2 linked regions of the Arabidopsis thaliana genome follow. The main gene of each other region encodes a partner of the protein of the gene in region 2 in a complex. Each region holds a gene or a part of one and is shown on either strand. Other genes may lie near its edges. The genes, in order: GLL22 and JAL22.

What was found.
Region 1: JAL22 (region 2) and GLL22 share a complex: the UniProt entries of both Arabidopsis thaliana proteins name them as parts of the PYK10 complex.

Annotation. Positions count from the first base shown.
Region 1 is NC_003070.9:20,154,776-20,158,711, forward strand, and holds the start of GLL22 (GDSL-like Lipase/Acylhydrolase superfamily protein), read right to left. Parts: upstream 1,746-3,936; 5' UTR 1,591-1,745; coding exon 1,332-1,590; intron 1,008-1,331; coding exon 889-1,007; intron 658-888; coding exon 189-657; intron 102-188; coding exon 1-101.
Region 2 is NC_003071.7:16,414,968-16,418,903, forward strand, and holds the start of JAL22 (jacalin-related lectin 22), read right to left. Parts: upstream 1,879-3,936; 5' UTR 1,812-1,878; intron 1,771-1,811; exon of another isoform or gene 1,364-1,770; 5' UTR 1,357-1,363; coding exon 1,156-1,356; intron 833-1,155; coding exon 371-832; intron 98-370; coding exon 1-97. Other genes in the region: AT2G39320 (Cysteine proteinases superfamily protein), read right to left, coding at 2,625-2,872, 2,985-3,204, 3,350-3,424, 3,524-3,550. UniProt on the Arabidopsis thaliana protein: Inhibitor-type lectin that may regulate the correct polymerization and activation of BGLU23/PYK10 upon tissue damage.

The sequences.
Region 1 (3,936 bases), on a different chromosome or scaffold from region 2:
CCGTTGGTACTCACATAGCTTCGAATGCACGTTAGGTAAACCGCAACCATAAGCATCGTGAGATCCAACTCCGCAGCACGATGCGTTCGTGACGAAAAACCCTAAGAATGACAAATATTAATGACTTGGTATTAGAAGTTATAAAACTAAAACAAATGAAATTAAACCATGATAATTAACCAACTCACGGAAGTTTTGGTTCCTCTGCGTCCTAGTAAGAACGGCATTGTAGAAATCAAAGACGGTGAATTGGAAAGGAGCTGATGCAGGAGAGTTTCTAGCCATTTCGTTCAACATCGGTCCAATTTTTTCGTTGTGTTGTTTAGCCAAATCGTTGAGTTTCTCATAGCATTGATCCATCCCGGTGTTGTATTCTTGTCTGACGATGGGTAAGCAACCCAATGGAGCTAAGGTTTGGATCACGAATTTACTCGCTCCTGATGAATACAACGCGCTAATATCGTTCTTTAACTTGTTGGTCACGGAAGTAACAAAAGCTTGTTGAGCAGATGCATCAGCGGTAGGGTTGTTCTTGGTGAAATTTAAGTAATCGTTTGCACCAATGTATATCATAAATACTGACTTTGCCACGAAATCATCGTTCCAATTTGCTGCTTTCATTTGATTGAATTTTTTCACTTGTTGATTCAGAGTCATCTAAAGAACCAAAAAAGAGAAAAAGACAAAAATTAAACCAATATTATAAGTGCAATTAAAGTAAAGCTTATTGATATTAAGTCACATGCTTTTCTGTGAAGTAAAACAAAAAGAATCCCGCTTAGTATGACCGGGTCAATAATAGACAGATATAATTGATTTTCTTTGAATTAGGTGTTGACTATAGATATATACATGACTCTTATATAATAAGAAATTAAGTTTACTTACAGATTCCACCGGAGCTCCGAGTAGAGTAGCACCTTCGACGGCGAAACTAGCTCCACGTGAGACATTGACGTTCGGTTGAAGCGCCGGCGCGATCGCGAGCGGAATCTTCATGAATTTAGCTGCATTTTGTATTTTAAAAATATTTTAGTTTTTCATATAATATCAAATCATTCCTTGTACTACATCTCCGAATCTGTTGACGAAAATAATAAATAAAATTTCATAGAATGTGTCCCGAAAAGTGAATAGCCGCTGAACCAATGCATTTATAATCTTTTTTTTAATCATACTATTTACTATTTTTTAAGTAATTCACTAGTAGCATACTTAAAATGCATTTATAAATACTACTGTTTATGATTATTTTTACGTAATCATACTATTTTTAACATACTTAATGTTTTAAAGATTAGAGTAGGATTCGATTAGAAAAGAAGTCGTACCGAGGAAGTCCGGAGTGATGAGGCCGTCGGAGAATTTGCCGTTGGGATCATCTCGAGATTTTCCGTACGGCCAGAAACCTTGAGCGACTAAGGTTTTGGTGAGAGTCTGTTTGTTTCCGGCGTCGAAGTTGGAGTCACCAAAGGTGAACAAGGCGACCACCGGACTATTCTGTCCGGCGACAGTGATGGGGTTGTGAAAGAGGGTCAATACCAAAATTACACATAGAACACTGACTAAATTACAGTTGTTTGCCATCATTTAGAGAGAGGGAGAAACAGAACTGTGAAAAGAGAAGAAGATTGCTTTTGTGCCTTAGCTCGTAGACCGATTCGTTATATTTATATTGCAAGTACTACAATTTGGCAATGAAAATAATAGTTCATTTTACTATACAAATAATAACGTGTAGCGCGAGGTTCATTTTACTATACACCTATTTAACGCACTAGCAAACGATTATCGATCAATTATATTATATAGTTCGCTTAATCACGTCTGACGCATTACTGGTTTCTCTTCTACTTTATTTTTAATTCTCAACAAAATATCTATTGTTACTACGAGTACCAAGAAAGATCGTGCTTTTTTTTTTTTGGTTCAACAACAACTTACAATTACACAAGAGTCTGAATACACATAAGCTTTAACCCAATCCGGCAATATAGAATACAATTTGGGATCATAATTCAGAAAAGAAAGAGATTCCCTAGCAATTCTATCTGCCACACAATTCCCTTCTCATCGGGTAAAAGTCACTTTAACCTCTTCGAAGTGCTGAAAAGATCGTGCATTTAGAGGCAAGAAGTAGAATTAAACATACAAATTTCACGGAAATATAGGGTGTAAATGGTAACACTAAACCAGATTCAGTAATTTCTGCAGTAACCATTTGCATAAAACTAAATTTTGCTGACTAGCCAAATTCAACAAAAAAATTTCAACACCAACATATACGTAGATATGTTTATTTCTGCTAAAACTTTTGGATAATTTACGAGTACACAACTCGAATTAAAATATTTTTAATATCAAAATACATATCAAATAGATATTTTTAAATAAGTCAGATTATACTGATACGATATATGAATAATATAGATACATAAAATATCACTACCAGAATAGACAAGAGACGAATATGTTCGGATAATTATAGATAATTTGGATAATAATTTTAATAACGTTTAGATAACTTAAATCAATTATTAAAATTTTGCAAAAACAACTCATACCTATGCTAAGATATTCTTTAAAAGATAAATTATAGTAATTTCCTTAATCATCCTCATCATATTATTGATTAAATTACTTGAAAACAATTAAAAAAAACAATTAACAATCTATATTTTATCATCATGTTAATTTTTGAAATTATTTTCTTAATAGTGTTTTGACAAAGATTTTCGTTAATTATTTACATATTTTTAATAGTTCAAATTTAAATAAGAAAGAATAACTCAATTTTGCGTTGACACAATCTTAATAGTATAGGTAATAGCTTAGTTATGTATATATAAATTATAAAAACTTGTGGAGAGTTGTTCCTTAAGATTTACAGTGAAGATTAGAGAAGATTAAGTTTTGAGAGAGTGTCTATATCAAATACAGAAGAGTTGGTCCTTATTCGTTTGTAAGTTCTAGTAATTATCAATTTGATTGGAATCATTAGAACGACAGAAAGGTGAACAATTTTGTTTCTAAAAGAGTGCAGAAACTAGATAAAAATAAAACACATTTGCTTACGTGAAGATGAAGTTTTATATGAAGAACGCCTCATTTGTTTGGTTCATCTATTATCTATATATATGATTTTTGGTTTTATTTCATATGAAAATTAACTGTAAATATAGCCGGCCCCAAAGCCAGATGTATAAACTTATCTTTTCTGGAACTTTATAATTTCTACTTTTTATTTTCTTTGTTGCCAATCATTTCGAATATTACCTTGCAAGAATAATTGCAAACAAAAAAAGAGGGTAAAAAAGGTCTCAAATTGAATCCACTACCTTCTTAAATTGATTCCACCAAAATTTATCATTTTGTTCTAATGGAGTGCATGTGGCCCGAAACTTGTCTAATCTGAGCACAAAGCAGGTCATTGGACACGCTTTGGTTCATATTGTCAGGTTTATCACGTTACTCATTGAGATTTTTCTTATGGAAAAAACAGAGTTGAGGTTACATTATTATTTTAAATCTCAACAAATTAATAACAGCGCATTTCAAATTCCAAGAGCTCGTTCATGGTATAGAGATGGAAAATAGTGAGCTCAAGAACTAAACGAGTTAGATAGATTCACTAGCATCGACGTCGACGTCATGGACTAACGATGATATTCTCATCCATTGGATCCTCCCAAAACTCACGCATAGGCTCATTAACAGGATACACAATGAGCTCACGAACATTCATAGGTTGGATAACATTTGGGTCCGCTCCAAAAGATAAGATGATGAGAAAACGCTTCTTGTGCCTTCTTTTTTTAATTATGGAATTACCTTTTAATATGTGGTTGACAAAAAAAAGAAATAAATTTATGTAAAAGTTTTGTTTCTTTTAAATAAAAGATTTGCAAGGGGTAAGAGTTGCAGAGATCAATCTTT
Region 2 (3,936 bases):
ACTTAAGTGACGTAATTGCCGTATTGCTAAAAATGTTTGGCTTCTGATAGGTTGCTTCCACCGATTTGATGTATTCATCTGGGTAACCAAGCACAAACTGCAACAAGAAGCAACAAAATAAGAAGACTTTTTGTCTTAAGAGATCTAAATACATGTGTCAATTATATCTACAAAAATTTGAACCGGAGTGTGTGAGAGTTATACTTCATACTACTGCAAAGAATCTACAAACACAATAATTAATCATTGATATTTGGAACCTAATTTATGTCGTTGTACTAATGATCACATATAAATAGAGTTTAACAATTTATAACATTTTTGAGAAATTATTGAACTAGTCGTGTATAAGAAGAACTAGTAAAGTTACCTCGGATGGTGTATCTCCTTTCCCCCCATGGTTACATGTTTTTGCTTCCCCGTCTTTCTCGTACTCAACCTCTAAATAAGTGATACGAGAATTATCTTGATCAATACGCAGCGTTTTAATGCCATCGTAAGAACCATCATCCCAAACACGCCCGTCTGTACCACCTTGGGCATCAAGCTTGTAAAGAGGGAACGGCGTGGTATCCAATACAAAGTAAACTCCAAGAGCGTCGACAGCATCACCTGCCCGTCCATGAAACCCTACGATCTTCTTTCCCTCATCCTCAAAAACAAACTTTGTACCGGTCGTAATTCCAAGTAAGTTTGGACCAAACAATGGAGACTTTCTACCCTTTGAGGTCTTGAAGACGAGGGACGTAATCACCTCTGTGGCAATGAGAGCCACTTGGTGGTAACTTCCCTCCACTGCTATGATGTGTTCGTCCGGGTATTGAATTACAAACTGTATGTAATAGTAACATATATTCAATAAAATTTATAGTATTTAATATTGATAGGTTTAGGATAATTCTCAAGATTTCCTAGTCCTAATATACAGTATCTGAGTTTTGGTTTTATAACGTTGTCTTAGTGTTTGTGTCTTATTCATTTACACAAGTAGTGTAATACAAAAAAATTAGAGAGTCACTAAAGGGTATCCGCCTCAGAAATACTTGCTTCTTCTTGTTTATGTCTTAAAGGATTTATCCAACGTTAATCCGAATTCACAAGAGTAATTTACTAGTATCGCAAAAAATTAAGGGTGAGAATAAATGCAATGAGAACCTCTTTAGGGTGCTGATTTGTTGTCCCATATTCAGTTGTTACTACTTCGCCGTCTTCCTGCACGTACTCAAACTTGATGTAAGTGATACGGTTGAGATCTTGCCCTACATACACTTTTCTTACACCCTCATATACATCGTCGTCCCATTCTTGTCCTCCCTCACCACCGCAGAGTGCCAACTTCCGGTACATCTTCGCCATTTCGAATCTAAAAAATATTGTAAAATGCAAAAATTACTTCTTATATAGATAATCCAAAAACGAAAGTATATATGTACAGCTTTATATATAGTTTTTAAAGCTGGTTTGTGGTTAGTAATACATAAATACCATGATAACACTGTATAGCCTATTCAAATACATAGCAAAAACACCAAAATGATCCAAGAAACACAAATAGAACAATCAACTGATCATGGGTAAATATTTACTGTTTGATGTTGATAGCTCTATTATTGGTGATGTGGTGTAATATAAATCAATCAATTAGGTTTAAAAGTGTTTGTTAAATCTAATATATTCAAGAATACATATCTACATATAAAGAGCTACTTCTTGTTTTAAAAACATTTTGTGAAGCAACATACATAGTAGTGGAAACTAGGAGTTACTTTAAAAAAAAAAAAAAAAAAAAAAATTGAAGGGAGAGAGATAACCAGTTAATTATTGAGCTCTGAATGATGGAAGGAGATGAAGCTTATGGGTATTGAATTGTGTGTATTTATTGACAATCTTTGGCATACAAGGTCTTCTTGATTGTCTTTAATTAATCATTTTAATAATCAACTCGTGTGACACGAGAGACTCCCTCACAAATGCAACAAATAATTAGAGTCCATTACGAGTGCAATATATAATAATAGCATACAACTTTCTAGATGCAGAGATATTTTAAAGTACGACAGATGAACAAAACAATTCATCAAAACAGCATAAACCAAATTCAATATATTGTTAACTAAAACAAATTTGATGATGTTAATGTTGCGATTCCCACCAAAATCTCCTATTTAGTATTAAGAATCTTTTTGACTGCACATTTTGAAAACAGATTTAGAATTATTATCTTCAAACTAAAACGGTGTATAAGCTTTATTTCCTAAGTTACTGTCAGAAATATCATTCATTAAAGTTTCAAATGAATTTAACAGTTATTTAAATTTTGTATAAACTGTGTTCATGCAAAAGTTTGGCTTATCATCATCATATATTCATGTCCTTGCTTTTTGGAGTCGTTGAGGATCGACGGTTGGATACCATGGAGACGATGGTCAAGTTATTTTGGGACGCTGATGTTATGTCATGATGACTCTTTCACATTATCATGTTGTGTTTTATGATTATCAGTATCTAAGGCTCAAAACTAGAATAAGCTCGAAAAGAACATAAAAGAGTCAAAACAACCACAATGATCCCAATAATAACATACAACTTGTCAAATGCAGATACACTTAATTTATCAAAACAAATCATTCAGAATAGTGAAAGTGGTGATTTCTGTTCTTCTTCTCCTTCTTCTCCTTCTTCTCTTTCTGCACCTTGGCTTTCTTCTTATCCTCCTTATCCTTCTTCTTATCCTCCTTGTCCTTTTTCTTCTCCTCCTTCTCCATGTCCTTCCTTTCCTTCTCCTCCTCCTCCTTTTTCTTCGCCTCATTCTCCTTCTTCCTCTGTAGCTTCATCCAGACTGCAGAACTCGATGATGAAGATGAACGTGAACCTGAAGCAGCCAACAAGACGAAGAATAAGAATGATACAATATTGCTCAAAGCCTCAAATCAAGAGTAAGGAGATGAGATGTATATACAATGGAGAAGGAAGAGAACGTTAACCTTTTTCTTTATTTTTTTTGTAGATGGAGTTGAAATGGATCCCAGCTAGATAGCTCATATGAATGACTTTGTCCGGTTCCTTTTGAGACTTGGGCAAAAACTCCATAAATGGAATAAGTTTGATTGATGTAATGAGTATTATTTTTACTTGATACACATCAGCAGCCACTCTCAAAGTCACTTCATCGCCCCATTGGGAATTAGTGGACAATGACATGTTCTTTATGGGAGAAGTCCATATGATCAACAAACCCTTTGTAAATCTTCGGATGAGTTTTAAGCTGAGAGTCATCAATCAATCAATCATCATATGACATTAATACACGTATGAAAAAAACAATCAAAAGTTTGAAGATTGATATTACCTGTTTTACGATTTCTTGTCTAACAAGTTCATGACAATCCGAATTTTGATAAAGTTGATCCGCCAAAGCACGGAACTGAAATAGAATTATTGACAAAAACATGAAAAAGGGTTATTCATAATACGATCAAAAATATATATCAAGTTGATTGTTTGATATAGAAACATTAATTACCTGGCAATTTCCATCACTTTTCATCATGATTTCGGTGTAATTTTCCCATTCCAATCTGAAAATCCAGGAAGAATAAGAAATAACATATATAGTCAGAGATTATCAGGCAAAAAAATAATTGGAACAAAGTTTACAAGAAGAATCGATCAATACCTATACTCAAGTATTTCGCGATCACTAAGACCGTCCAAACACAACGACTTGGTCTGAGTATTAGACATCTTTTAGAGTTGAGATTGATCGATGGTTATTGATTCAGAACAGAGTCTCGATCTCCTCTCTTAGAAAAGATTAGGGCTGCTAGGTTTAACGTTTCTCAAAAAAAAAAATCTTTCTCCAACAGTTAATTGTGAATTATGATGATCCTATCCTTTAATATACTAAAAGAACGAAAAAGAAAAAGCAAAAAATTC